Alligator mississippiensis: one gene and its partners. The protein of the gene in region 4 interacts with the protein of the main gene of each other region in a biochemical or structural test. Links are inferred from orthologs where the notes say so. Each region holds a gene or a part of one and is shown on either strand. Other genes may lie near its edges. The genes, in order: PDGFRB, PDGFRA, ITK and PLCG1.

What was found.
Region 1: the proteins of PLCG1 (region 4) and PDGFRB form a complex in vitro, tested with the Homo sapiens proteins (3 studies listed by BioGRID and IntAct, with this or other methods). The link is inferred for Alligator mississippiensis from reciprocal best matches to the Homo sapiens genes PLCG1 and PDGFRB.
Region 2: the proteins of PLCG1 (region 4) and PDGFRA form a complex in vitro, tested with the Homo sapiens proteins (2 studies listed by BioGRID, with this or other methods). The link is inferred for Alligator mississippiensis from reciprocal best matches to the Homo sapiens genes PLCG1 and PDGFRA.
Region 3: the proteins of PLCG1 (region 4) and ITK form a complex in vitro, tested with the Homo sapiens proteins (2 studies listed by BioGRID, with this or other methods). The link is inferred for Alligator mississippiensis from reciprocal best matches to the Homo sapiens genes PLCG1 and ITK.

Annotation. Positions count from the first base shown.
Region 1 is NC_081832.1:75,044,848-75,052,779, reverse strand, and holds the start of PDGFRB (platelet-derived growth factor receptor beta), read left to right. Parts: upstream 1-4,922; 5' UTR 4,923-5,100; intron 5,101-7,932. UniProt on the Homo sapiens protein: Tyrosine-protein kinase that acts as a cell-surface receptor for homodimeric PDGFB and PDGFD and for heterodimers formed by PDGFA and PDGFB, and plays an essential role in the regulation of embryonic development, cell proliferation, survival, differentiation, chemotaxis and migration.
Region 2 is NC_081825.1:59,716,251-59,723,628, reverse strand, and holds the start of PDGFRA (platelet-derived growth factor receptor alpha), read right to left. Parts: upstream 3,008-7,378; 5' UTR 2,843-3,007; intron 1-2,842. UniProt on the Homo sapiens protein: Tyrosine-protein kinase that acts as a cell-surface receptor for PDGFA, PDGFB and PDGFC and plays an essential role in the regulation of embryonic development, cell proliferation, survival and chemotaxis.
Region 3 is NC_081832.1:77,836,805-77,843,914, forward strand, and holds the start of ITK (tyrosine-protein kinase ITK/TSK), read left to right. Parts: upstream 1-4,097; 5' UTR 4,098-4,207; coding exon 4,208-4,345; intron 4,346-7,110. UniProt on the Homo sapiens protein: Tyrosine kinase that plays an essential role in regulation of the adaptive immune response. Regulates the development, function and differentiation of conventional T-cells and nonconventional NKT-cells.
Region 4 is NC_081832.1:17,809,606-17,817,148, reverse strand, and holds the start of PLCG1 (1-phosphatidylinositol 4,5-bisphosphate phosphodiesterase gamma-1), read left to right. Parts: upstream 1-4,540; 5' UTR 4,541-4,761; intron 4,762-5,207; exon of another isoform or gene 5,208-5,496; 5' UTR 5,497-5,631; coding exon 5,632-5,833; intron 5,834-7,543. UniProt on the Homo sapiens protein: Mediates the production of the second messenger molecules diacylglycerol (DAG) and inositol 1,4,5-trisphosphate (IP3). Plays an important role in the regulation of intracellular signaling cascades.

The DNA of each region.
Region 1 (7,932 bases), about 57 Mb from region 4:
GGGTTTTGCAGATGCAGACGGACAGCTGCCTCTGGCTGGCTGCAAGCTGCCCGCGGGGCTCTGTCCCTGGTCTCCCATCTGGGCTGTGCGTTCAGAGCCGTGCGCAGCCCCCGGCGCCGGAGCCCCATGGCACGCACACGCCGCAGGCACGCACATTCCAGCACACGCTGGAGAAGGAACGGCTGGTCCCCGCCGCCGCACTGGGCCTCCCCACCGCCCCCAGCCCACCCCCAGCCAGGCCGTGGCCAGCATTCCCAGCGCATTGCTCTCATTCCAGGAGTCACGTGGCTCACTCTCCTCCTGCCCGGCTCCGCAGGGAAGGGGGCAAGCCATGGCAGGAGGAGGGCAGGTGCTCTGCATGCCCTCGTCTTACATCACGCTCCAGCTCTCCGGCACGATACGAATTGTTGTTTCTCCCTGGGAGAAACGTTACAGTCTTTGCATTCTCCTATGCCCGAGGAAGGGCGCATGTGCCTGAAAGCTTGCAAATAAAGGAAGTTGGGGTTTTTGCAACTGTCTAGTTGGGCTAATAAAAGATATCGTCTCTACCACACTGACTGCTTGCCTTGGCAGCGCTCTCAGAGGAGGCGGAAGGAGAGAGGCCGAGGGGACATCCCAGATGGCCAGAGGCCTGGACCCAGGCTGCAAGCAGTGCCCTGCCCTGCTGGAAGCCAAAGGAGACCCCTCGCTTTCCTGGGCCCCCTGCCCCTCCTGTCCCACCTGCTTTACCCCCTACTAGTAACCTCCCCCTGCTGCCTCTGGCACCATTGTGGGGCCCAGAGCAGGCAGCCTTTGGCTCACCATGCTGCATCAGTCATGGGACAGCACCAGCACAGCCTCAAAAGAAGGGGCTTAAAAAAAAAAGCATTCCTTTTTTCTTTTTAAACCAGCCTCTTTTTTTTCTGCATCCCGGTTTCCGAGCTCCTGTCCTCCCGCTCTGTCTGGCAAGGCCTAGAGGCTGCTGCAAACGCTAAATAGGGAGAGTCCGGGGATGGAAATGCAAGAGCTGGGCACTGTGGAGCCTGCCTGCATGGCACTACCCCAGCTCGCCATGGGAGGGCACTGGGCACAGCTGTAACGGGCACAGGAGTTGTCCGGACAGTGCCCAGGTATGCACCCAGCCTTTGCAAGGGGCACATGCAACATGCAAAGCCATGGCCCAGGGGAGGTGATGTACCTCGCCACACATGCATCATGCACACATGCATAGGTGTGCACACATCTGCAGATGCTTCTCTGCACCTAGAACTGGAACCCGAAGTATCCTGGACCGGTATCTGGCTTGGACACTCGCCCAGGCCAGCCCAGTGGCTTGGATCCTCTGTATCCACTGCAGCTCTGTCTTTCCTTTACTTCTGGCCATCGCTGGCCATCCTGGGAGCCCTCCTGTGTAGGGCAGGACAGAGCTGAGCCCCTGCTCTGGGACCAGAGACCGAGGCATAGGTGGGACTCTGCTCCGCTGTGCCTCATGGAGCAATGTGCCAGAACACAGTGGTGGCTCCTAGACCTTCCTCCCGGCTGATGGGATGCCTACGGTCTTTGCTGCACAGGCCAGGGTGGAGTAGGGCCTGCCCACCCTGTGCCCTGCCCTCCAGCTCTGCCAGCACCCTCCAGGAGTGCTCCGGGCTCACGGGGGTTGCACTCCCTCTTCGGCTGGCCTGGCATGGCAGCAGCAGAGCTCACAAGGGGTTAATCATTCCAGTGCCTAAGTGGCTCCAGATGTGCTGGAATGACTGGGGTGACCGGAAGTGCTGCTATTCGCATTCACACTGGAGCGTGCAGCTGCTCCCACCAAGGCACCAGGCAGGAAGGGCCAGCTCTGGGGGGAGCCCCCCAAAGCCTGGAGGAGAGTCAGGGATGCAGTTCAGCCCCCATCTCCCTGCAGACTCATGGGATCGTCCCAGAGCAGAATGGGCACAAGGCTCCTGTGCCCCTGGCCTGGGGGCAGCATTAGCCGCCAGGACGGCAGGAGAGGTGGGGACCAGAGCTGCCCACTGCCGTCGCACTGGGGGGCTCTGGGTTGGCCCCTCTGGGATGCCTTCTCCCCGCACCCCTGGGGCCCACCACTTGCTGCGATAACCACAGCCGCGGGAACCAGTGTCTCTGCACGGTGACAAGAGCTCGTGCATCAGGGCCTCATGTTGCATCAATGCCCACCCAGGCAAAACAGTCCAGGTAGCAGCCCCAGGCACCTGGCGGCAGCTCTCCTTGAGCCCCTGCCCTCAGCCAGGGCTCGAAATGGCCCCTGTGAAGCCATGCCGGGTGCTTGTTCCCACTGTGCCAGCCCCATGGGTGCTAGTGCCCCTGCCGCCCTGCTGTTCATCCCCACTGGCTAAATGAGCAGCAGATGCTGGCATGACTTACAGGGTGAGCATATGCTGCTCCGTGCCCCCCTGGCTAGTGATAGGGCCTCTGACATCTGTCTCGCGGCCTGAGGCTTAGACCCCCACCTCATGGGGAGGAGAATCACCCGGGACAGCTCTCTGCGGGTGCAGCTTGGCGGAGCGGAGAGGAATCGCCCTTTATTTAAGGAGCCGGGGGACTGGCAAGGCCCAGGTGCAGCTCTGGCATCTAGAACGGGTGCAGGCAGAGGCCAGGAGCACCTTAGGCCCTGTGGGCACTGCTGAGCTCAGCATCCCTGCAGCAAACCCCAGAGCTCGGACGTAACTAATCCCTCTGAGCATCACGGCTGGCCGGAGGTCTCTTACACCGGAGCAAAGGGAGCTAGCGAGAGCAGGCAGCCTCTCTCCTCCCACATACGTGGCTTACTCCAGGCTCCCCGTGTCCTGTCCCGCAGCGCCCGTAGCCCAAACACCCTGAGTTCCTAAACAACGTGACCTTGGACAGGCACGAGGGATGCAGCAACAAGGACTCGGAGCAGTTTGCAGCATGCACCAGGCCCTCCTTAGCACGACTTTTTCCTCTACGATGGCTACGATGGCAAGCCCTTCCCAAAGCCCCAGGGTAACAGCCCCCTGCCCTCCTCCAGAGGGGCCTCAAGACCCTGCTGCCTTTGCAAGGGATGGCTGTGGGGGCACACCTTGGAGACCCCAGCCTGCCCACAGGACGGAGGTGACCCCAGGGTCTTGGTACCGGGCAGCTGTCCCGTCAAACGGCTTGTGGCTAAAGACGAACAGCCCCCACCCTTTCCGTCCTGCCACCCCACAGGGTTGGCCTGCAGCAGCTGGGGAGAGGTTTGAGACTGTGCCTGCACCCCGAGGGCCCTGGGTCCGTACCTCCCAGCCTCTCCCCCCACCACTCAGCATGCCGCGAGCAGCTTCCCATCTCAGAAAGGCCCCCAGGACTTGTCTGTCTCTGCAGCCCCTTCTCTGCACCCAGTGCGGGTGCTCCGAGGGCCTTTCCTTGCCTCCAAAAGGAATGAATCCCCAGTGCAAATAGCAGGGCAGCCTGTGCAGGTCCCTCGACGCTGCTCCATGCCACATTTCGGGCTTGCCACCAGCCCATTCACCTCCACAAGAGCCTCCCGCACGGCTGCCCCTAACCTGGGCTAACCCTGCACCTCACACCTCTTGCTCCCTTCTATCACGGGCACCGAAGGATGCTGTGCAAGCACAGCCCCATTGTATGGTAACAGCTCGGGATTTCCCATGGACAGTTCCTCCCCCTCTCCCATCAGCAGTCTCTGGATAAGCCGTCTCCACTTGGTTTTTCATCAAGGAGAGGAAGAAGATACTGAGATAACTAGAGATAAGCAGCAACTTCTGAAACCACCGGGGCTGGCGACTCATCCGCCGGCTCGACTGGAAACCATCCACCTAGCAAAGTAAAATGGTGCCTCCAAGCTGCCCTTCGCCTAAGGGGCACGCAGCCTGTACCCAGTCTGCTAAATATGTTTGGAGAAGGGCAGGGGATGCTTTAGAAAGGGCTTTTTGGCCCGGGGAGATGTCCTGGGACAGCGTTGCCAGCACAGCTTTGTGGGGTTCTCCGCCAGGACGCTCCTTCGGGATTCAGAGCGTCGTTTGGCGTCCAGTTTGAGACATGGAGAAGAGTTGTTTCCAGATAGAGAAACCTAAGGCAGAGCACAGGGTGATTTCCCCGGGGTAACGACATGCCAAAGACCCGCTGGGCCCAGGGGCCATTAACCTATGCTGGACCCAGGTGAGCATTTCCCAGGTCGGCTCAGTGGGTCGTCACATGCTTGCAACATGTTTTTATTGTCTGGGCTTTCCCAGGATATCCTGGTGAACCCAGGGCCTGAAACCAGCTCCAGGGAGCCAGAAACTCACCCACAAAAGGTTCTACTAAGCCAGAAACTCACCCAAAAAAGTGTCCAGATATGGCATCAAGCTGCCAGAGCCAGAGAGGTGCAATAGGTTAATCCCCATGTAGACAGACCCCTGCGCCGGGGCGCTCAGGGAAACCCCCCGCATTTTTGCAAATTCATCTCCCTTCACAAAGCTCAGGGTGCACATCCAGACTCAGATCCAAAGGGCCTTTGTTTGAATCCAGTGTCCACATGGGTTCCCGGTGCCGGGGGGCTAACCCGCGCCCCACCGGCAACTCGGACTCCTTTGCTAGCCCTGGTCCCTGACCCTGGAAGAATGTACTCTCCTTCCTCACTGGGCTGTGCCAGCAAAGGAGTCGTTGTGGTGGGCTGTCGAGCCCGCGCGCAAGGGGCTGCACACCTAAGGGGCCGGGTGGCTGCTGGAGAAACACGGCGGCCGGCCCAGCCTGCTGCCAGGGGCTCAGCCTGCACGGTGCCAGCTCCAGCCAAGATCCGAAGGGAATGTGTGGAGTCAGTTGAGCACAGGCCTTCTCGAATAAAAACATGAGTCAGCTGCTGGCGTGGGCAGCGGATTCTCTAAACATCCCCTCATATCCTGAGAAAGGGGAAAAATGGGAGGGGGGCTGGAAGCCAGGGAAAAAGAAAAAAGGAGGAGGCAGGGAAAAGAGCCAGAATTGAAAGCAGACGCGGAGAGCAGAGCTAGAGCCAGCCCAGCCCAGGGAGGCAGGGCAGGGCAGGGGCTGCTCCCCGGGAGGCGGCTCGGACCTGCCCCTTGCGCTGGATGCTCCAGGCAGGACAGAGCTCGGGGGCAGCCCTGGCCAGACGGGGAAGGGCTCCGGCCGCACAGGCTCCAGGTAAGGGCGTTTGAGTGCCCCCTCGCCCCCCAGCCCTTGCAGTTAAATCCCTGCGGCCATGCAGCTCCCCAGGTTTGGGATTGCAATGCGGAAAGGGACCCTGCTGTCTGCCCAGGCTCCAATGCAAGTCCCCAGGGACTGTGATGCAAGTCCCCAGGGAGTTGGCTGTATAGGGGGAAGTGGGTGACCCTGGGAGGGGGCTGGGGGGTTGCACCCAGAGCTGGGCAGAAGGGGCAGGCAGCCCCGAGTGGGACAGAGGCAGCAGGGTGCCACCCCGGGGTGAGAGCCAACCTCCCCTCTGCAGGGCTGGGGTGATGGGGGAAGCCAAGGGGTTTCTGCCCCGCTTCCTGCTCCTGTCCCAGTGCCCCCCGCTGTGCCAGGTGCAGTGGGGGCTGAGGGCAAAGCTGGGGGGGCACTGGGACTCTGTGCTGGGCATCGGTGCCTTGGCCCAGGCTCTGCCTCTTAGAAAGCAGCTCTGAGGGTGCCCGGCTGGCGAGTACTGCGCTGACCCCCAAGGCACTTAGTCAGGGCCCCGTGGGAAGGCGGGGCTGTGCTTGCTCCCCAGAGCAGGGTGGCACCCATGGGAGAGCTCCTCAGTTGTGCTCTTTGGTCTCTCCGCTGGCCCCACAGCAGATCCCCACGAGGGCAGTGACAGGTCTGCAGGGGCCCTGGAGGGAAGTGAATGCTGGCAAGCCTCGGGTGCTCACTCTAGGAAGAATTTAAGCTTGTGTTTGGGTCCCACTGACTGCAACGTGAGGACGGCTTCCCTGTGCAGACAGGCGTCCCTCTGCCCAGGACGTCCATGGCATCATTCAGTGGGACCTTTGCAACCCCGGCTACGTCCATCCTTGTTTCATGTGGCCCTCGGCATGCGCCTTCACGTGAACGACTGCTGTGCTTGCATTAGCCAGGGAGGCACAGAACCGCGCCTCCCTGACTTGAAATTTGCCCCTTGCAGCGTCCAGGTGAGCCTTAGCGGATAACGTCCCCATGGAGGGGAACGGGGCAGCTCGGGTCTCTGGTGGAGCTGCAGCTTGAGGCTCAGGGTAATCTTGGGGGGAAGCAGCTGGAGCAGAGCTCTCGCTGCTGCCGGGACCTGAGAGAGCTCCTTCCCGAGTAGCCTGGATACGTGCAGCATGGCCAAGTGGAAGGTTTCTTTCACAGCCATCAACCTCAATGGAAAGCTGTGTTCTGGTGAATTTTAGGCCACAAAAGCCCATCAAGTCGGGGCAAGAGCCCCAAAGGAGGCTGAGCCATGCGATGGGACCTTGAATGAGTTAGTGCTTCTGAGCCCACTCACGGGAAGGGGCCCGGATGCACTGTCCAGCTTCCTCTTGGAGGGGATTATTCATCCAGCCGGGACTTTTCGCAGGGGAGCTTTGCACCTTTGCTGTTTGAAAAGACAAACCTTGAGTGGAAGCATTTCCCAGCTCAATGGGCGAGGAAAAGGCTCTTCTTGCACCCAGCACCCATCCAGCATCCCAGCGTGGGTGGCCTGTGCTAAGCAGTGGGGTGTTTCTGCTCAGGTGGGCAGCAGAGAAGGGGTGAATGGTATTGCCGTTTGAATTTGGTCCTTAAGGACTGAGGGTAATCCTCTGGGGAGCTGAATGGACGGCATTCGGCGGTCACCCGCCCTAGGACGGGCGCAGCGCTGCACAATCCGTGTTTCATTTGCAGTTGTGAGAGTGAGAAACTGAGGCCAAAGTTTTCCGAGGAGGTGGGTGTGTTTGAGTGCCTCCAATTTGGGGGCACTCAGCTGAAGATAGTTGTTGATGGTTGTCTTGTGTAGAGCGTAGATTATGGTTTTTATGGGATGCTTTGGATAGGGGTGATCCTGCCTGAAGCAGGGGGTTGGACTACACTGACTTCGGGAGGTCCCTTCCAGCCCTGCGCCTGGGAAAACCAGCCTGTTATACCCTGAGTGCTGAGCATCTCTCTGACATCCGAGTCCCTTGCTGAGGTCTGTATCCAAAATCAGAGACCCCCCCAGTCATGCCACCGCAGGGAGTCGTGGTCCCACATGCTCAGTGGGTGGAAACCAGGGGTTTCTGCAGACCTCACCTGCTCTGCGCTCATTGCCTGTGTGCACACACTTATCCCACCAGAAGTGGGAGCTCAGCCATGGTGACTTCTCTTCCACGCAGGGTAAGGGACCACACAGCTTGGCTCCCTCTCGGGGTAGGTCTGAGCATGCAGAGCTATCACCGAGCAGCTGCCACACGAGAAGTCCCCGTCCCCCCGCCTGTCAACTATCCCTATGTCCAGGTACTAAGTGAGAGCTGGCAGGGCAGGGGGAAGGCTGGGAAGAGCAGCAAGCAGTGCCCCGGTTTCCCACGTGTCCCCAGAGCCATGGGAAAGGAGGATGGTGTGCAAAGAAAGGTCTCCTGCCTGAACTGTCATCGGGTGGTGAATCTGAGACGATACACAAGGTGCAGGCAAGCAAGAGGGAGTCCGGCGGGAAGCAGCAGGAGGGATGAGAGGTTTACGAACGTGTTAAAAAAAAAGGGTGAAGGAACTAGGCTCCTTTAGTCTAGAGAAGAGAGGACTGATATGAGAAGTCTCCTTCTTATGTAAAAGGTTGTAGAGAGGACAGTGAGCTGTCGTCTGGGATTTCCATTTTGGATGCTTATCTTGCTGGGATCCTGTGACTCCGGCTGACTTCCTGCCCTTTGGGCCAGGGGCTGGACTCGATGATCCTCCGGGGTCCAGCCCGAATGTCTATGAATGTATGACAAAAAGAAATCATTTTATTTGCAACACAGAAGATTTAGGCTGGATGTCGGAGAAACATCCTCAGCTAGAGAACCTGGACCCTTCCTCCTTGGAGGTTTT
Region 2 (7,378 bases), on a different chromosome or scaffold from region 4:
GTTGTTTGGGTTGCTAAATCCTAAATTTTTGTGTAGTTGTAATTTTTCTTAAAACTGTTTCCAAGTTTTGGAGAAAAATTCTCTTTGTTGAAGCCATTGTTTGTCTGGGGGCATGTCCAACATGCAGAGCAAGGAAACTCGTTGGAAAAGAATTTTCTGCTTCTAGATCAGATTTTGTTAGGTCTGTGTTGTGTCAGGGCTGACGGTCTTCTTAAGTAGTTTAGATTATGGAGGGTATAGGGTGGTTGGGATAGCGATGATCCGGCCTGAGGCAGGGGGGTTGCACTAGGTGACCTCTGGAGGGCCCTTCCAGCCCTAATGCTCTATGATTTTATGATCATTTTGAAAAACCCTATCATTGGGATTCAGACAAAATATGAACCTTGCAGGCTTTGATTTCTGACCTCCTGTCTGGTCAGGCTCTGTGCTTCTTCCCACTGGCTTGGTAGGAAACTCTGAGGGAATCTTCTTCTCCGGGATTCAGCACTGGTGCCCCGGGGGAGCTGTGCTGGCAGATGCTGTGGCAGGCTCGAAGCCCTAAGACTGGTTGCATATGCATGAGTTGGGACAAGAGCCACAGGCTTGATTCCTCGTCATCACTACGGCGCAGTGCTCCCGTCAGCTCCACTGAAATGAAGCCGGGGCCAGGTTCAGCCTCACCGCAGCAAGGGCACAGGATCCGGCCCGCGAGGAGCGAGCCGCGTGGGGCGAGCCCGGCAGAGCCCGCGGCGCAGCCGCCGAATGAAACCAGCTGCAGGCTCCGGGGAGCGGCTGGCGGCTCCCTCCTGCGGCGGCCAGGGGGCAGCACAGCCCGCGCTCCGGCCGGCCCGAGGGAGACTCCGCCGCTGCCTTGCCCTTGGGAAACCGCTGTCTGGCACCCGGCAGCCTCTCCTCTCCTCTCCTCTCCGCCCCGCCACATCACACGGGCAGCAGCCGCCTCGGCAGCTCTGCCCCCCGCCTGCCCTCGGGAGCCGCCTCAGCCGAGAGCCTGCTCCAGCCACCTCCAGCCCCTCGGCCTGCACCAGGGAGCCTGACTTTGCTCTTAGGACCCCCTGGGAAACGCACAGCCCGGGGGGGTGGCTCAGCCTCCCACCGCGGAGACAACCAGATGCGGGATCCCTTCGCTCACGGATCCTTCCGGGGGGTCCTTCTTTGAGATGAGATGACCCCCTGGGCGGGATCCGGGCGCTGGGCAGCGAGGTCACAAGTCAGGGGCCAAATAGTTTCTTCCCCGCCCAGAGCCACTCGCACATGTGGACCGGACCGGACCGGATCTGGGGGAGGAAATGGGACGAAACCAGCGGGGTCTCTCGATGTTGAATGGGGTGCGGCCGAAATCACGCAGAAAGCTTAGGCAGCTTAAAGAAAGAGCAGCGCCGGCCGTGAATGGGAAGCACCCGAGGGGCTGCTCTCCACCCTGGTCTGCCTGCAACAAGGACCCGAAGTGAGCAGCTGGGAGGTGGGGGTCTGCCCCGGGACGGCTCAGCTCGGGAAGGCACGGGCATGGGGGCTCCTCCACCTCTGGATGTTACGAAGCCGGGCAGCTGGGAGGGGGAGGAGGGTGTTGACATTCACCCCTTCAAAGCCCCTGTCCTGGGTTTTTGAATGTCTCCAGAGCACGGACTGGCCCTTGGGAAGTGAAGCCCTGGCAGGCGCTGGTGTCCCGAAGCGGGGAAAGCGTGGGGGGATGATCCGAGAGGGGGGGGGGGGGGGGCGTCCAGCAGCAATAGCAACATCCAGCCTCGGAGTTGTTTTCCTAGGAAACAATAGGGGAGCCCTTGCCAAATTGAAGCAACATTTTTTTATGCGGGTTAGCCAGAAAAAGAAAAGAAAGAAGGAGAGGAGAGGAGAGGAGAGGAGAGGAGAGGAGGACCCGCTATTATTTCCTCCCTGGGGACTGAAATGCTGTCCAGGCTCGGATTGCCCTCTTCCCCGGGCAGGGCTCGGCTGCCCCACGGAGCAGAGGGCAGGGGTCCGCCTCGTCTGTGCCCTGGGGGGAGCCCGGGCGGGGCCGGGGGGAGCGGGAAGGATCCCTCGGGGCGACGGCGCGGCCGGGAGCCGAGCGAGTGCCCGGAGCCGCCCGTGGCCGCCCCCGCCCCGGGGACGTGGCTCTGCCCGCTGGGCGCCGCGGCTGCTGCCCGCGCTGGCCGGGCGGGGACGAGCCCCAAGGGATCCCGGGCCGGCGGGAGGAGCCGCGCCGCGGGGGCCGGGGTCTGGCGCTGCCGGAGCCCCCCGGGGCTGAGCAACGCCGCCGCAACCCCAGGAGCCATTTCCTCGCTCTCCCCGGACCCTGCCGAGGGGTCCTGACCGCATCCGCGCCGACGCCGGCCCGGGAGGGACGAGGCTGCGGGGCCCCCGGAGCTGTGGGGGCAGGTCTGAGGGGCCGCCGTACCCAGAGATCGGGACCATTTGGTCCTGCTGCGGAGGGCACCGGGAGTAGCAGCCAGGCTATGCCCCGCGGTCGCTTGTCCCGGCCCCCCGAGCCCGACCCAGCTCCCCGGGAGCCGCGACGTGTGTCCGCCAGTCTCTGCCGCTCCACCGCGGCCGCCCGCAGCGCGGGGCAATCCCCGTCCCTGCGCAGATCCCCGCTCCCGCCCCGGTCTCCATCCTGCCGCCCGCCCCCTCCCAGCAGCTCCCCGGGAGCTGAGATGTGCCCTCGCCGCCTCCCCGGCGCTCCCAGGTGAGCCGCCCCAGGGACTGCACAACCGCTGGCTCTGTCCCCCACACCCCCCGCGACTTGATGGCCTGCATCGGAAGGGACTGCTGTGCTTCGCCTCCCCCTGCTCCCAAGCGGCCCCTGGAGAAGGCGAGGCGATGGGGGACCGTCCCACCCAGCCCGTACCTGCTCCTGGCTCCGCGGACCCGCGCCGCCAGCCCTACGCGCGGAGTCCCAAATCCTTCCACGTCCTTGGTGGCTTCTCCTCCTCCCCCTAGATCCGACTGGGACGGGCTCAGAAACCGCGCCTCGTCATTGATCCAGCGCTCGAGTCCATCCTTCCAAAACTAATCATTTGCTTTAAGTAAATAGCTGTCAGGAAACGAAGCCCCCCCTCCCCTCCCCTCCGGCCCCTTCAGAATAAGAGCCGCCCTCCCGCGCCCCGCGCCTGCGGCCCCGCCGCCTGCAGCCTGCGTGCGGGGGGGGGGCTCTTGTGCAAGCAGGGGAGCCACTCGCCGCCTGCAGACTCCACCAGCCCCGGACTGGGCCGGGGGGGCAAAGGGGGGGGAGTTTAGCCATATGGCAAGGGAGCGTGTATGGGGGGGGAGGGGGCGAGGAGAGCTGTGCACTGCAGGGAGGGGGAAACAAAGTTTCTTTAAAGCCCCAAGTGTTCCCCGTGTCATGAACGAGCTCTCCTCCTCGGCCACGCACTCGGGGAAGGTGTGCCAGATGCCCGGACGTGTGTCCATCCTCCCCATGTAAGTCTCGGGATGAAAAGCTGAGCTGGAAATGAATGTCACGCCGTCTTTTCGACCCGACTGGGCTCAGGGCTCAGCGCACAAAGCCGCATGGCAGCGTCTTAGCCAGAAGCAGCAGGCACTGAGCCGCAGCCGAGTGAGCAATAGTTATGAATGAAAGAAACCGCGAAAGGTAACGCTAGGGAAAAAAACCCAACAACAACAACAACAAAAAGCCCGCTGCTTTCCGACAACCGGGAGGCTTGGGATGGTCTCGGCACGAGATCGGGGAACCCTGTCTAGACGACGTCTCCACAATTTTGAATTGATCTTGTGAATCCGGCTTTCTGGACAGGGCTTTGATCACCCGGCGGGAGATAAAAGTATCTCTGCCTTGCTGATTGTTGCTGCGTGCTGGAGACAGGGAGGGGTGGTGAGCGCCGAGGGGTATCTGTGCTGGGGGAGTGAGACGGGCTCTTTTCCGTGCGGTGTCTTTGCAGCGGTCGTGGGAGAGGGGGCACTGCAGCCTCAGGAAAGGAGGCTGAGACGCGTCCGACTGGCCCCTCTCGGGACGCGTAGGGCACCGGGCCGGACGCGCCTGGGCGCTGGGAAGGGGGTTCTCGAAGAAGAGGAGGTTACAGTGGTTCCCCCTCTTCTTGTCTGCATCCTCTGCCTGCTTTCCCCTTCCCCCGCGTAGTGCCTGCGTGCATCCCCCTTCCCTTCCTTTCTAAGCAAAACTTTGTTCTCAAAGTCAAGCAGCAGGCTCCAGAGGCTCCATCTCTCCCAGACTAAGGAGAATTAGTCTCTGAAGCGAAAATGCCCCCGAAGGGAAATGAGGAAGGCTGTGAAAGGCAGGCAGCGAAAGCATGGGCCAGCCGAGTCCCCGTGGCTGGGCTGGCAGGGTCCCCCCTGCCTGGGCTCAGTTGATCACATTGCCTGCAGCCTTCTGCAGCCTTAATACATCTTCAGCTTGAGTGAGTGCACAACCTCACTATTGCTTCCACATGTTCCTTCAGGAAATCATTGGAAGCAGATATATGAACAGCCCCTTGTTCGGAATGCTAACAGGATACCGTAATGCTTGTAAATAAATAACAGGCTCCCATGGATTGGAAGTAAGGGTAAGGGGCAGTGGAGGGTACACTCATCTTGCAATTTTTTACCTGACAGGTAAATAAATACATAAGTTTGATCGTTTAAAGTGGTGGTGACGAGAGAGAGAATGAGGAGACAAGGCTCTCAGGAAATCGAAAGGTGCTTTAAGATGTTTGAAATGCAAATGGACTTCAAATTTTGAAACAAAGTTAGGGTATCAGTCAGGGGCTGCCAGGAGCTAGCGTGGAGTGGGTTTGCAGGCTGGCTTCACTTTCGTTGCCTTGATTTGTGCACGGATAGGCCGAGTGACGCTGTAAAGGGACCTTTGATGGAGTACTTTCGTGATCAGATGTGACGGGAGACCCATTCTAGGACAAACAAAAAAAATGAAGCAGAAGAGGAAAAAAAAAACAAAAAAGAAAACAAAAAAAAGCTCCTTCTGGTTGTAATTACCTGCCTAATTTGAATAATGCCTTTGTCATGATCATTAACAAACAATCGCTAAAGGCTTCCATGTGGGAGATCAGATCACAGGGCTGAACAACAAAGCGAACCTCCTTGGAGTGCAGGTCTGGGGAGGTGTAGGTTGTAGCCGTGTTGGTCTGGGGAGGTGGCTGCCTCGCAGGCCTCCATCCCCGGCGGGACGCACGCTCCGGGCATGGTCCCCAGCCCCGGGCCGGGACAGCAGCAGGGCTGCCCTCGTCTCGGCTGACCGGGCCCGGCGCGAACATGCTTGGGGAGCGGGAGCAATTGTTAATCACTCGACCTTTCCTGCCTCTGCTCCTGGCCCAGCGCAGGGATTGGTACCTGAAAAGTGATGACATTAGCAGCCCTTTATCTCCAGTCCCGAGTCACCTCATTAATTAACCGGGGGAGCTGTCTCCAGGCCCCTCTGTGTCAATCACCCTGCAGGGCTTCGCCGGGGGGGAGAGCCAGGAGCCCTCTCCATGCTGTTGTTGTAAGATCCGACGAGATTATTGCACGGAGAGAGGAGCAACGCTGTCCTGTGTGGTCCCGCGCTTGGAAACAGGGCGAGAAATCTCCGCGTTTACAAGGCTGCGTGTTTATTTTTGTACCTCCCGAGGTATCTGCCGGGCAGAGAGCAAAGGGAGATGCACACCAGATGTGCCTTCGGGTGGAGAGCCCCGCTCTCCCCAGTTCCCAGCACAGCTGACTCTTGGCCATTTGCTGGGAGAGAGACCCCACTGTGCTCACGTCCCAGCCCCCTCCAGCCTCCTCCTTCCTGAGTTCAGAAACAGGCTTTGCAAACGGATCCTGTCGCGGTGCTGGCGGTGGAGAAGGTGGCACTCCATACCACTGTCACATGCCAGCACCCCGGGGGTGGCCCGTGTGCGGGGGTCTGGCTTGGGGGAAGGGGTTGGAGGGGGGGCGGGGGGAACCTGGTGGGCTAAGAAGCCCTGCCTTACACGGCACCCCACATCTGGATAGTTTTACCACTTTTCTTCCAGAAAAGCTTGGTGGTTGTGGCTTTGCCAGAGCCAGCAGCTCTTAAGGATGATGTCTTAAAACAAACAGCTCTCTCCTAAGCTAGATGCTTCAGCAAGATGTATTCCTGTGTGCGCTGTTTCCCAGATGGCTTCCGTGACCAGTTGTCTTCTCCCAACCCCAGCGAAGGGCAGCTAGGCAAGGCAGGAGGCACCTGAGCTGCTTGTGTTTGCGTGGGACAAACCCGAGTGCCTGGGCTCTGGGTGCAAAAGCAAGCACTTCAGTGGGATGGTTTAGGAACATCTGGGAAGGGGGTGGGGCTGGGCAACCCTTGAGGTCCCTGCCAACCCTGAGACTGTATGTGACAGTGGGGCCAAGCGGGTCTCTTCTATCCCAAGCTGTTACAGGGCTCCCTTTTCAGGCTCTTCCAGAACAGGCAGCCTGAAGCATACGGCGCTGTGCTGGGGGGAGGGAGGGCTGTTTATGTGGCACGCAGATGCGAGCTCCACATCTCCAACCAGTCCCAGCTGAAACAAGACAGAGCCTGGTGTTGACACCTCAGCCCTTCCCCGCGCGCTGACTGCAAGGCCCAGCTGGGAGGGAGGCTCCAGGGCTGCTGTGGGGAGCGGGCCTGGCTCCCTGGGGAGAAGGGGGGAGCTCTGCTGGGAGGAACCGCGCTTCCGCCTCTCTGGGGCTGCTCATTACAGTCTGCAACGCGCGGCTGTTTATTGGGCCGGGCCGGGAGCCTCAACCTGCCCCCCTCGCCCCTGCAGCGCTATTGGCCTCGGGAGAAGAAACAATTTGCTGGAAGTAATGACCCCTTTCCTGCCTCTCCCGAGGGTGCGATGGACTCGGGTTAAGTAGCTGAGGACACAAGGCGGGCGAAGAGTCCGTTCCTTCGGGCTTCTCCAGATGCCGTCGCAGGGAGGGAGCCTTTGTCTTGCTTGGCGGAGGCCTGCTTTTAATTATGGCAACCCCTGCTCAGGCATTTGCAGCACACAGGCCCTGGGAGCACGGGGCACCCGGTTCCCTGCGCACCCGCCCGTCTTCGTGCCTCTGCTCGCCACACACCGCGATCTCTCGCGTGGGCCCTGCGGGGTGGCGGGGGCAGGCGGGAAAGGGGCAGGGGGGGGCTCCCCTGCTTCTGTCTTGCACCGGGGGACACACAGCCACTCCATCTGGATCCATGCAGCCGTGAATGCCCCGCGAGGCCAGGAGCGGCAGCCCAGTTCGGGGCAAGGGACGCCTGGCTCAGGCCATGCTCGGGAGGCGCGGCACCCTTCCCCGCCGTTGCCAGTCTCAAAGAAACGCCTCCCTGCCCCGATGCAGCTGAGCAGCATGTGCAGGAGCGGCGGCAGGAAGTGGCTTCTGGGAATTTCTCTTTGATCCGCAGTCAGATGCGCACTCCGAGCGGGAAACGAGCTGCGGAGGCGCGGACCTCCCC
Region 3 (7,110 bases), about 60 Mb from region 4:
TCCCGACGTGTAGGACAAATCTGAGTCCTCTTTTGAAAAGCGACAACCACTTCAGACCAGATTTGGAAAGGCATACAGCCACCTGCAGCGATCGGTCTGTTGTCTGATGGGATGCCTAAAAGAATTAGGTGCCTGACTCCCAGAGAGGTGTCTACCTTGCTTATGTAAATCCCACCAGGCTCAATTTATTTAAGTGCCTAAATAGCACTGTAAATCTGACCCTTACAAGGTGTAACTCCCACTCTGGGTGCAGACACGTGGTATATTACTCCCCTAATAATCTTCATCCTTGGGGTAGCCTCTGCATAGAGCCCAGCTAGTTAGGAGAGCTGCTTGGAAGTCTACCACGGAGAAAAATCTGGGGTTAAGTTCCTCCATAGTAATTGTCATGTGCCCATGTCATGACTTTCAATAAGACTCAAGCTCTTACTGTATTTAGTTGTTGTAAAAATAATACTTTGGCTCGTAGGCAGACAAGGTTCCTTGGGTGAATTTGATATCTTTTATTAGACCAACCCAAATGGTTGGAGAATAGTTATTAAGCAAGCTTTCGGGTTCAAAAACCCTTCGTCAGGCTCAGGAAGTTTCAGCAGTTGGTGTGTGCTCTTTTAGACAGTTATAGAAATGTTACCTGTATTGCTATGGAATTGGGGTGATGTTGTAGTCATGATGGTCTGGGAATGTCATTTATGGCCACATTTTGGGTCTTGTTCATTAAAAAGTAACATTGCAAGGATATGTATTTGATAGATGTACTTCCCCATCGTTTAGGAAGCTCAGGCAACAGGAGCGTGGAAAGAGACTCTGAAGCCAACCCATCCCGTTTCGCTGCCCAGACTAAGTGACAGGCAGGGGGGAAACGTATGAACAGCAGTACCTTAGATGTCTACCACCCCGCTAATGAAAGTGGCTGGCACCCTACAAGTAAGAAAGTTTTAAGTAGATTGATATGGCCAAAACAGGTACCAAAGCGGAGGGCCCGTATGTAGCAACCTAAATAATTAGACTGAGTTTCCAAAGTCAGGTCTCCCTGCAGTCACCTCGAGTCTCACAAATTTAACAGTCTCCACTGCCTTGTCTCCTGCCTTCATTCGATCCCACATTTGGCCCTGGCTGTCTGATATTTTAGAGATAAAACCGAACTACTAATCTTTCTTCCCAAGTCCTTGTGAGTTTGCGCCTTCTCTCCTAGTCTCGATCTGTCTATCGTACGCCCTGTCCCTTAGAGCCACCATCACGAGTCATTTTGTACTTCTGTTTTTCCACATCCCAGCTGAAACCATATCATTTCGTTCTTTCTCCTCTTCATCTCCCAAGTCCTGCCTTCTTCCTCCATCCATGGAGTCCAACCACATGTTTGGTCCTTGCTTCTAGCTGGCTGTGACTATTGCACTGTCTTTCTTTCTGGCTGCTAACGAGCACGTGGATCATTTCCTGCTTAATTGCAGCTGCTGGCCCCCCAGCTTCTGCGCTTGATCAAGTCGTGCTCTCTGCACATCCCTCCATGGGCTCTCCAGCGCTTATCACGCTGAGATAATCACGCTTCTTGTCATCGCTCCTGCTACACCCCCCTGTCAAGCATCTCTTTACTGCCCACATCCTCCCTGCTCGACCAGCCCAGTCTTACCACCCTCAGCTGCCTGTTTGTTAGCTTCTTATTTCTGTCCCAGGTTTTTAGGGTTCACTGACCATTGCACACCTCCATTTCCTGCCTGCCAAATGAACCCACTACACATGGCTTAGACCAGTGGTTTTCACCCTGTGGTCCCTGTGGTCTGCAGGCTATGTCTAAAAAGGCTGCAAAAGATGACCACGATCACTCAAAAAAATCACAATTCATAGGGCATTCCACACCTCCGTTCAAAATTTTTTAGGGGTCTTTAAATGCAAAAAGGCTGAAAACCACTGGCCGCTCTCGTAGGTAGTCTGGCACTAGGTTGTGGAGTTCACCTGGGCGCAGCTTGTTCAGATTTGCCTTTCTGCAATGCCCAGAGCACACGGCGTAACCATAAAATAATGAGAGACATATACAATGTGATCGTAAATAAGGAATCGTGACTAAGTAGGTTATGTTGTGTGAACCTCTGAGGCCTGATCCCCAAATCATCCACAGTGGTGAAATCAGGAGAAAGTGCATTGAGAGCAACGGCAATCAGCTCCCCTGCAGAACCGTAAGGTTTCCCTGGAGCTAATTATCATTTCATCAAGGAGGTACAGAGACGGCCGGCAGCCCTTCTGGTCTAGCACACAAAGCTTCTGCCTATGTGTAGAAGCACTGTATCACTTCTGCAAGAGAGACACATGGGTAACTCAGGCCTAATTTGTACAACTCTTCTTTAACAGTCTCCTATTCTTCCATTTTTCATGGTATTTTTTGCAAAATTCCCCTCCTGATTTTATATGGCAGGTCTCAACTCTTAGGGGGAAGGCAGAATCTCTACAGGACTTGAGCAGAAGACCCCCATGATGATTGATTAAGACGCTCCTGGAAGGCTGTACCCAAACTCAATGCAACATGCAGCAGCACAGCAGGTATATTCTGCAGGGATCTTTGCATAGCAAACCCATGTTGAAAAATATTGCTCCCAAGCTCCAAAAGTTTTGTGTGAATTCATCGAATGTGTCACAGAATAGCCCCAGCAACAGAACTAGGCTCTAACATCTAAAAAAAAAAGTCTTTATTTTTAAGAGTGTCCAACTTCTGCTTGAGAAGACACCTTTCTCTACCTGTGCTAATTTCAGGCCAATACAGCGCTTTCTTTGGAGTTGGCAGACATCCTCAGAAAAGAGTGAATTAAAGAGAGGTGCAAACTGTCTCCATTCATTTTAGTATGCTACAAACCCTGAAATCCAGGGGTGCTATTTGAAAAGGCAACTGCTTGCAATAATGCTACAGTGGAATAGTTGTCAGAGGGTATGTCTACATGTTCATTAGTGCGCATTAAATGTAGTGCCTCCATTCTGAAGTACTAGAAAAAGGCACATTAACCTATTTTAATCTGTATTAGTGAAAGCGCACGGTTTTTATGACAATGTGCATTAAAATAGGCTAATGCGCATTAAAGTACATGTGTAGACATACCCAGAAAGACCCAGCTAACGTTGTTTGGTGACACAGCCCATTTACCTGCTTGTCTTTGCTCAAACCCCAGTTGTTTCCTTCTCATTGTCCCCTTTTCCATTACCCAGCAGCTTCTACTATGTAGTTATACTGCATCAATACCAAGGCTACGATGCGTTGACACATAGAAGTGAAGCACAATTAATCCCAATTGATATCAGATAAAACGACGAATGAATTCATCTAAAGCATTCTCTGGTTTTTAATTCTCCTGCAGCTGTTGCAGACTTTCTGGTCTGCTGCACTGGAAAGCTAAGGAAACCATTAACTTCTGGTACAGTATATAGACCCCACTGCTACCGATTATATCGCCCCGTGCTGTATGTACCGAGAACATGTTGCATCGCGATTTTCCTGGGACACACAGCAGGGATTAATTGTCTTCCTCCAAGCACATCTGGAAAATTCAGTGACAGGCAAGAGATTAATGGACGATATTAAAAAAATGGAAATGTCTGTTTCTACATCACTGCTGTATGTTCCTATTGTTTAATCTGCAACTTGCTTCTACTCCCATGGCAGAGACTCGATGGTTATAGAGACAATTTCTTTGAAAAGAAGTTTTAATGTAAGGCATTAAGTAAAGTCCTGAACTGATAAACACGCGGTGGGTACGACAACGCCAGGTGTCTGTGAGAGGGGCTTGGATTCACAACCTACTTCTAAGAGGACAAGGAAGATGCCGTTCCCTACGGTCCAAATTCAGCCTGAGCTCTTTGGACTGGGTACTGCCCAGGTGTCCTTCCGTCCGGCCCCGTTGATCCCTGATCCTTGAAGTCACCCTGATTGAGTGCCCTCCAAAGGTGACTTTTTTCCACAACATTACCCTTGGATCATTTCTCAGCATGTGCTGTTCGTTTCATGACTGGAGAGGATGTGGTTATGGTTTTGACAGAAAGGAAGCCTGATAGCGTTGCCTAGATGACAGACGGAAAGACAAAGCTCAGAGCACCTACGCTGCCTTTTGAACACCTTTTGGTGAGAAATTAACTGTCTCCTTTCTCGTGTCTCTCTTGGGGCGCGCGTGGTGTGCCGAGCTGCGGCAGAAGCTCTCTGTCCTGGGCCAGGACCGTTCCCTACCAAACCATGAATAATTGCATCCTCCTGGAGGAGCAGCTGATCAAGAAGTCCCAGCAGAAAAGGAGAACATCTCCCTCCAACTACAAAGTGCGCTTCTTCGTCTTAACCAAGTCCAAGCTGGCTTACTTCGAGCATCGCCATGGGGTAAGTCAGCCATTTTTCTCTCTTGTTTTACTCTGCTTCTGAGTTAAGAGGCATGTAAGGAAGGGGAACCCTCCCGTCCTTGCTACAGCAGCATCTGTCATACCAGCTCCGAGCTAAATGTCAAACCTGGCTTTTGCAGCCTGGTAACAGCAGCTATGCACAAGGATAATAACAAGAATACATCAGCTTACCGGACATAAAACCTAGGTATTAACTAGCATCCTGTGTATGGCCAGATTGTGGACTGCTGCCATGTTCACAGTTAGGGAGAAAAAGAAAAGTGGCTCTGTTATACACACCTGCTTCATTTGGAAACCGAAGGCAACATCTTTAGCTGTTCAGTGATTGTCTACAACACTAAGCTGTGGGCTACGGGGACGTGGCATCATACTTATAATATTAACAGTTAAAAAATCCCACTCTCAGGCTTTTACCAGGTGCTGTTATGTTTTCTATTGCCCAGATAAAGTCTCAAACAAAGTCTTGCTTCCCTACTTCATTTTCTAAATATAACAAAAATTAAAAACAAGTATGTGTTTGCCAGTGTAGTTAAAGTTTTTACCAAGTCCAAAAGTCTGCTGCTTCTCCTGTTGGATATTCTTGGTAGACTGTTAAATTTCACTAGCTATTGCAAGTGTTTTCATCACATCTGTCAGGAGTCATCCACGGTGGAGAGCTTGAAGGGTTAACATTTATGGCTGCTTATACATCATTTCACTCTGTTGCCTTGCAATATGGATTTTGGGTGTTTGGGGGCAAAAATGTAGGCAATGTTTTATGCATCCAAAATTCATTTAAGTTGTAAAAATATTATCTCTACTATGTGTTTTATCATGTTACTTTGAGACTGTCCCCGCTATTCTCCAAATGCTGTCATTTGAAGGCTTGGGGTGTTGTTACAACTATTTAGGTGGATGATTCTCAGTAACATTTTCAAAAGCAGCCTAAGTAAAGTGACTTAAGCTGCCTAAAGTTGCAGGGAATTACTTAGTTGGGATTTTGGAAAATGCCAAAGCAGATTAGGTGCCAAAATCCTAATGGACTCATGGGGAAGTGGACACTTAATATGGCTAATCATTTTTTGAAAATCCCACTGGATATATTTTGGCACCTATAATTCCCTTGGGAATCTGAGGACTGACTTTCACTGGAGCGCCGGTTTTGTAATTGCTTTGGAAATGTTGGAAGCGTTATCCCAAGCTCACAGTAGGCAAAAAGGGGGCAACTCAAAAGCCCCCCGGAAATAAAATGTTTATGAAAATAGTTAAAAATGTGTCGCGATATCCACCCCATTTGCATGTGCAGACAGGACTGTGCTCACAAGGATGTGTTTCTTCCTCTGCTCACCTCTCGTGCCAATAGCTTAGGTGCTTGCTTTGACAAGACAGTTCCTCAACTATCAAGATACCGGGCCAAACATTCAGCTGGGGTAAATTCTCATAAGACAATTCACCTGTGCTGCGTTAGAGCAGCGAGAGTTGGACGAAGTGCATGTGTAGCCCTGCGTACTGCAGGGAGGTCTACGCAAGACACGTAGGAACATATGTGACTGTCCGTGTGAGTATACTGTCAAGACAGGGTGTGATGGTCCACGGTGATTCCTTGCTTTTATGCCAGTGAGAAATGTTGAATTAGGTCCAAAGTGTTAATAGAAAACCCTAGGTCAGGGCTTCCCAACCTTTTTCTCAGCATGACCCCATTTAAACACTGGAAATTTTTTGCGACCCCAAAATGATGCAGACAAGCTCCACAAGTCATGAAGATGGCATTACAATCATTATGGTCTTCATATTTTTCATATACAATATTTAAAATCATTTCAACTTCTTGTTTAGATTTAAAAAACGATGAAAACAAAGTCTTAATAAGCTATTAAGTGCATTTATTTGATGTTTATTTCAATTGCTTGACCTGTGGATTATATTTACTGTGGTGCCCTGCCATTAAACAACCCTGCTTATATTTACTCCTGTTTATAGTTATAACATATTTATTCCTTTTTATATAGGAAGCATATTCATCATAATAGGTCGATGCTGTCAAGCGTCTTTGCAACCCCATTTTTTATTGTTGTGACCCCAAATAAGATTGTGACCCCAGGATTGGGAACAGCTGGTCTAGGTTGAGGTTCGCTGTCATCCTTGTCTAATCTTGACCGATTTTCAAGCACTTCTTTAGAGACTGGTTACTGAACTTGACTGTTTGCCATATCTCAGCCTAAGGCAGGGCTCAAAGTGCCAAGAAGTCCAGCCAAGAACATAAGCACGCGCTTAGCTTCAGGCAAAACACTTCAGTCCCTCCTTTCCACTGAACATGCATGTTGTCCCATTGGTTTCAATGGAGCACTTATGCTTAAGGTTAATTAATGCTTAGCCTTTTTTGCATAAATTGTGGTGCTAACAAGTGTAAGAGGACCTTCCAAAGACCAATTAAAGCTGTGCCACTTGCAAGGAGGTGAAGAACCACGTCAAAGTACCATTTGGGGAGACGTCTGCAAACTGTATCCAATGCTAACAAAGCGCCTGGTGTCACAAAGGCAAATTTTTAAAATAATTGTCGTGACATTTTCTATTGTACTGCCCCATTGCGGGGACAGAAAGCTCTATTGTTTCATTGGTCCAAATGCGCAATTGCCATTAACGCTAATGGCAGATATTTACATACATCATTAGGAGAATGAACCCAAAAATAACTAGCAACAATAAGCAGCTGTATTTGCTGCAATTCATTATACAGTGCACAATGCCAGGCTGTCTTAGCATAAA
Region 4 (7,543 bases):
TGTGCACACAAGCAAAGTCTGTCTGAATTTAAAGATGCAGGACAGAAAACAATTAAGTGTTTCAGTTGCATAGCTACGTGCAAGAGTCATCATCACTGCATAAATAAGGAAGGAAACAGAAGTTGACTCGGCTGGCACCTGCTCAAATTTGAGCAGTGGCAGCAGAGAGAATCAGGTTAGCCAAGGAGTAATGTAGGTTTTATGCAACGTGTTTTATACCAAAGCATGACCCAGGTGCTGCTGCTGATAATAATAATACTGGGTGCTATTTATCACTAGACCTGGAAGTGCTTCAAAAAGCAAGTGTCCCTGCTTGACAATGGAGAAACTGAGGGTCAGGGCAGGGAGCAGCCTCAGTAGCCCAAAAGCAAAGCTAGGAAAGGAAAGCTGGTCTCCTGAGTCTGTCCAGTACTCTAATCATTAGGCTGCACACAACTGCACTAGAGGTGTTGTCCCAGACCTCCAGGATAAAACTCAGCAGGTATTTAAGAGTTCCCAGCAATGCTGCATGAGAGCTGAGGTGTAACAAGAGCTACTGGCTGTAAGCTGACACTAGACAAGCTTAGGCTAGAAATGCTGTTCAGGGAGCCAGGAGGCCTGGATTTGATCAACTGGGGAGGCTTTCTTTGAAGATATCTTGCAGGTACTTCTAAAAGTAATAGCCTGCAAGAAATGGATTCTAGCTGTAGGCCTGCCCTGGAGAGGATATGGGTTGAAATTTTCCATGCTTAGGTTCAGCCCAAAGGCATTTATGTACTTGTATACATATTCAAGTATGTTTACACATGTTCATGCACACATGCCTTATGATGGTTTCACTGTGCAGCGCTGTCCATCTCCATTGCACTGCTTGTCCCTCTCTATAGAGAAAGCACCATCTGTTAGCTGCACACAAGTAACTGATGGAGATGGACTATACAAATATGTAATTTAAAGCATTCAGAAGATGTAAATTCAGTGCTTCTAAAGATGTCCTGTGAAACATGGAAAATGAGTTGTACATGGATGGCTTGCGGAGGAAGCTTTTATTTCAAGAGAATTTCTGCCTATATTTGATATAAGCTTAGAGATAACATGAGTGTTTAAAGCTGGTCTCGTTGGGAATTTCAGAGGCACGTCTATCTCAGCTGTTAATCAAAGAGTTGGAGGTGCTGAATATTTCAGAGAGTGCTCTCTTCCATCTGTTAGGCATTGACATTAAATAGGCATAGATGAAAACATGTTTTAAAACAGTCCAGATAAATCAGGTATCATTTCATTGGTATCTGTAATATCATAATCCTACCAGACAATTTTCTGGGTTAGCAAAGCCCTGAATGTTATGATCTAATGCATAAAAGAAAAGAAAAGGAAGGAAGGAAAAACACAACCATTAGGACTGTCATGCATAATGAAAGAAGCAAAAGGAACAAATAATTTCCCTTGAAGGTCACTCTGATTAGCTGCATCTTATCAATTTATTGCCCCCTGACTACAGTAGAAATATAGAGCTTAGTCTTGTAATAAGCACCCATGCAAATTATCCTACTGTAGAATGAGCCCACTCCTTTGAGTCATGTCTACCTGCGTGATTAAGGACTGTATGACAGTGGCTAAGTAGATGGCATCTGTCAGCTTGAGGGGTCTTGCAGTGAGAACTATGACCCATAACATCCCTGCAAGGCAGGTGCTGAGGACAGTGGACCTTGCCTCTTTCTGTGACTTCAGCACCTCACTCAGGGTTACTATGGGGAAACTCTGGTGTCCAGCTGGGCTCTGCTGCCCAGAGCCTTCTCTTGACAATGGGCACCTACAATTTGTTTGAAAAAACAGCAAGGCTTTCTCTGTCTTGCAAAAACAAGATGGGTTGTGTCCCGTCCCCTGGCCCCTGCCTTATATAATAGCCTGGTGGTTAAGGAACTTGGAAGCCAGAGGCCCAGATACTAATTCCCTGTTGAAGCTGTGCCTGAATTCCACAAAAGTCCCAATTTAGGTTCCTAAGACCTTCTTTTTGTGTCTTAGTTTTTTACATGGCCCTTTAGCTTCGTCAGCAGAGCACTCAGGGGATGGGGATCCAGGGTTCTGGTTCCTTTTCCCAGGACCGTTTCAGTATTTTTACCCAACTACTGTTTAGTGCAAACTAAAGTCCTGCTCACTCTTACACACTTCCGCTGGCCAAATTTGTCCTGCATTCCCTTCTGCAATATAAGAGCAGGGGTGGGGTGAAGAGTGTCCCCATCCAGAATGGTGCTCAGCCTGGTGATTTGGGACACGAGCAAGATGGTGGTTTGAATTCCCTCAGGCTGGGGGGTGGATTTCCACTTCTCTCTCTCACTTCCTGGCCTTAAGCACTAAGGTACTATCTAAAAAGGGAATTAGATAGGAAAAAGAGTGATGGTCATGCCTACGTTTTTGTGAGGCACTTGATCCCGTCAGTGTGTGCTAGGCAAGGTACCAGATTCCACCCCTTAGTCAAGATGGCAACAGAATGCCCTGTCCAGGGGTCCCAACCTGGCGGAGGTGTGCGCTGGGCTGAGCTGCTCAGCCGGGGACAGTTGTGGGCATGTGCAGAGGCACAGATCTAGGTGCCTGAGGAGGTTTCAGGACCAAAGGAGAGATGCCCGTGTGCACTTTAGTTGCTTCCAGGATTCGGTGGCAGCTGAGCAGGAGGCTTCAGGGTTCTGTGCTTGGACTTAATCATGTTTCAGACATCGGAGACCCTGGGTTCAGACCTTGCATAAGGTCTGTCAGGGGTCAGCCAAGTGAATATTATTTCACAGTTATGTTCATTTCACCCTCAGTCCTGCATTGAAACAGTTAGATTCTCAGCGATGCTTTTACCTGCGTCTTGAAGTTTGTACAGAGATGCTCTGTCTTTCCTGAGTACTTAACCTGTTTCCTCTGCCACTAAACCTTATCTCCTCCTGAACACGTGGCCCTTGTGGGTAACTTCATGTCACTTTAAGTAGTTGTAGACAGCACCCTGCTGCTTTTGCTGGTAAGCACTTTGTGCATTTTTAAAACAAACCGCATGTGCCTGGCTCCTGACTTCTAGCTGCAAGAGCAATTGCCTATGCAAAATGTATGTCTGACTGGGCATGAAAATGCCATGACTGGATGCACATATTAGCTCATTTTATGCATGCAACATTTCTGGATATTTGCATGTGCAATAAGCAGATTCATGTATCCACTTGTGAGCATGCAGGCCAAAGGAAGAGATTTCCTGTGGAGCAAGGAGGGAGAAATATCTGCCTGGGTCATGGAGCAGCAGTGGAGTTTCTCCTTGGTCACCTCTGCAGGCTCAGGGCTGCAAGAGTTCAAGCATGTGCTGGCATAGCCAAGCAGTTGTGATATCCCACTTGATGCACCATATTCAGGCACTGACAACACTTTTAATCAGAGCAAAAAGCCTTAAACCTAGAGGCTAATGAAATAGCCTGGCCTAATGTCCTGAAGCGATGGGGTGGGAGTAGGGGAGAAGGGAAAATGAGAGGGGGGTAGCTTTGGGAGAAAGCTAGGGGGAAACTACTCCAAATCAACTTCTTATTCATCTACTAAGCCTCCCTTAGTTTACTTTCCTGTCTGGCTGGGTGTAGCATTGCAGCACTGGCCCCATACTACCAGAATCTAACAGAGCTGGCATGAAAGGAGATGATTCTCCCCTTCCCCAGAATGAGAAAATGGAGCTTGGCATGCAAAGCCTGCTCTTTCCAGGTAGGTGTTAATGGGCATGGTGGGAGTTTTCAGCAGAGGAAAGAACAGATGGGGAGAAGGGCCTTTTGGTTAAGGCATTGGGCTGTGCTTCAGGAGAGCTGGGTTCAGTTCTTGTTCTGCCACAGATTCGCTGTCTAACCTTGGTGGAGTCGCTTAATCTTGCCATCTTTTGCTTTTCTGTTGTCAAAATGGAGACAATATCGTCTTCCTCCCTCCTCCCGTCTTCTGCGTTTCCTGAGCTGCTGGGAGCAGGGAGCGTCCTTTGTGTGTCTGGACAGCCCCTAGCACAGGGAGGCTTCAGGCTTGCCAGGACCTTTGTGTGTTACTGTCATGCTATTAATGGCTAAGAGCAACACAGGCTCTCAGCCAGTCCCCCTGGACCTATGGTAATCAGGTTTCTTCTGCCCAGCATGTCTTTATAGGTTGTAACATGACTCCTGAAGCAGTCCTCCCTGGTGAGCCATCCTGTCTGCCTTCGAAGTACGGATTTTACTTCTGTCCTAACTAAAAGCAGGCCCTGCTCCAGCTCGGGACTACTTTGTGATGACATCACCCCCCCGCGTGGCAGGATACACAGGTGGGGAGCCGCGGCGGGTGTCACAATGCGTGGGGCAGCAAGCGCTCGCCCCTGGGGCTCGAGGGGCGCGCCGGCCCTTCCCCCGGTGCGGGGCTGGGGAGCCCGCGGGGCCCCGCGCAGGGCATGGGCATGGGCATGGCCAGCCCGACCCGAGCCGTCCCGCCCGTCTCCCGCGCTCGCTTCCACCCCAGCTGCTGCTGCTGCGGGAGAGATGATTTATGAGGAGGAAGCTGCCTTGATCTGCAGCTGGAAGAGGTGGAGCCATCGGGGACTGGAGCCATGGGGCTGGCATGAGCCGCCAGCCCCGTGCCGAGGCCCGACTAATAAATCATGCTCAACCCCCGGCTCTCGGCAGCACTGCTCGCCCGAGCCCCGCCGGCGTGACGGCAGCGGAGGGGAAAGGGGACCCCCCGGTACCCGCCTTGTCCCCCGCCCCTGCAGATGCTTCGTGCCCGGGCCGCGGGGCAGCTCCGCGCGGCGGGCACACGGTAACCGCGGGTGCGGCCGGGCGGAGGAAGGGGCTGGGGGCAGCTCCTCGTCCTCGCTGGCCCCGCTTTGTGCTGAACGCCGGCTGGGGGAAGGGCGCCCCTCCGAGCCCCCGCCGTTGCAGGATGCACGAGAGCGGGGAGGCAGATCACGCCGGGTAGTTTCAAATCAGTGGGTCGAAAACATGTAGATGCATTTGGGCTGGCCCGGAGCTACAGGTCTGCCCGGGCTCCGCTCCCGCCGCACGTGCTGCGCGGGCCGGGCGCTGCCGGGGGACGGGGACGGGGGCGCGGAGCGGAGCCGGCTGCAGCGCTTCAGCCATGACTTGCAGAGCTCTCCCGAGATCTTATCGGGCTGCGATCGATGCGGGCGGGGGCGGAGGCGGAGGCGGGGGGAGCGAGGCAGGCACCGCTGGCCCCGAACAAAAGGGAGAGGTTTGCTACGAAGTCGCCTCCCTCTTTCCTCCCCCCCTTTCTCTTTGCAACCCAATCTTTCTGGAGGACCCAGTCCCGCTCCTAATCACTCAGGAATGCTTTGTGTCTGCCTGCTTTCGCTTTAGGCTCCGTCGGGAAGGAGGAGGGGGGAAAAAAAATGGTGCATGATTCAAACCAGCAGAGAGGCGATTTTTTGCTGCAGTCCTGGAGTGAAAAGTTTCGATGCGGGAGACGATCGCTCGGGCTGGGCTCCCCCCTCTAAGCCCTCGGATCTAAACACGGCTTCTTTCCCCCCTCTCGTAGGAAGGGGAAGACTCTTGTGCTGGGAGCCATGAGCTTGGATTGGTTTTATTGAAGTCTGCCAAGTTGCAGCCGGGAGCCTGAAGATCCGTGTTGCCTGGACACTTCTCTGCTTTGGGGGAAGCAGAGGAGGGAGCCATGGCGTCCGGCTTCTCCAATGGACCCTGCATGCAGAACGAAGCCGAGGTGGTTCACCTCTGCCGGAGCTTGGAAGTTGGCACTGTGATGACTTTGTTTTACTCGAAAAAATCCCAGAGACCAGAGAGGAAAACTTTCCAGGTGAAGCTAGAAACCAGACAGATCACCTGGAGCAGAGGCTCGGAGAAGATAGAAGGAGCAAGTAAGTGTGGATTTGTAACAACAGTGGGGAAGGCAACTTTTGATTAGAGCTGATTCCCCACACATCAGACTGTCCGGGTTGATGGGCAAGTTTTCTTGAGCATTGGAATCTGCCTTGCTGTGACAGCCCGGGTGTTTTGTCTAAAGGGGGAAATTTTGCAACACAGATGCAGTAATTGGCAAGTTTTTCTAAGCCGAGTAACCTTTTCTCTCTCTCTCTTAATGGCCTGAAATGTTTATCCTGTGTTGAGTGGTGTGGCAAAGGCAGAGCTGCACTAATCCTTGAATGTACATTTCAGATTGTGTGAATTTTCAATCTAGCTTGAGATCTGGGCCTCTGGCCAGTCCAGAATAACTCTTAATCGTTTTTGTGATAAACACCTTCCTTTCTTCTAGGAAGAGGCCCATCTTTGTTTCTCACCTGACCATTCATCCCATTCACCCTGGAGTTTTTTTCCCTCCACCCTCAGAAGCTCCTAAAACCTGCAAGAAAAGCCAGCCTTCCCATTCCTTGATTTAAAAACTAATCATATTTTGAGCCCATTTTTGCTTCTGTGATGGAGCTGACCTGGGTATTCATCATCTGCTTTCATGTATGTGAAGAAGAGATTGAAGTGAAGTTTTTGATTGTTGTGTTTCACAAGTGCTAATTGACAGGAGTGCATGAGCCAGAGTGGAGTCTTTGGGACTAAACTTTGGTCCTTCAGACCCTTCTGCTCTGGGGAATTCAACCCTCTTTGGTGCCTGGGTTAGCTAAGTTAAATGAGAATCACAATACTTTAATGGGTTACCTTCTAGGTATACAAGCTTACCTATTCTTCATCACCTGTTGAAGGGCACAGCTGCCTAGCTACTTAGAAATGAAGTCCACAGACAAGTTACCATCTACCTTAAAGTTGGTCATTATTTGGCTGCTTTGTTTTTTGTAGAATTCAAAGTTTAACGTAGAATTGATAGCTTTGGCCTTGAGCTCAGTAATTGCAATGAGCTCAGAAGATGAAGCAGTGGATGGCTTGAGATTATAATTTCTTAACCTATATGGCACCGAAATCAACTGTGTGGGTAGTGATTCCTCTGCTGACTTCCATTTTCCTTGAGCTTAATACCAGTTTGCAAAACAAGAAATCTTATCTATCAGATAAGTCATTAGTGACCAATTTATCAGCCTCCAGAGGCTAGACAGATGTTTTCACAGCTGGGTGGTGGGTTGATAAAATATAATCCTCTTGTAAACCATGCTCAATGCACTGAGCACCAATGTAATTATAAATATAGTTATAGCTAATTCTCTTACATTTGCACTGAATGTTTAGGGGCTATACTCTAGTGTGAAGTTGGTGCTAGAGAGAAGGTTTCCAGCCCTAGGTTCAGTTTGGGGTTCACTCTTTGTGCCTTTCTTTACACTGTTTACAATAGTTGTTTTAATTAAAAAACTGAGCATTAATATTGAATTTTAAAGGAGGGACTCTTGCCCATGTCTCCTTCATGCTTCCAAACCTGAGAATTGGTAAGGTATTTAGTTGCATCCCTGAGACCACTCTGTCTATAATTTGGTCATTATTTGATCAATTTGCTTGGCTCCAAAGTGAAAATGGGTGCTCTAGTAATTCATAAATTGGATGCTTATAAATAACTATATGCAGTTTTGTAAAGTATCTAAGAATGCTCTTGTGGTAGGATAAAATTGGAGTCTGCAATTTTTTTCCCATAG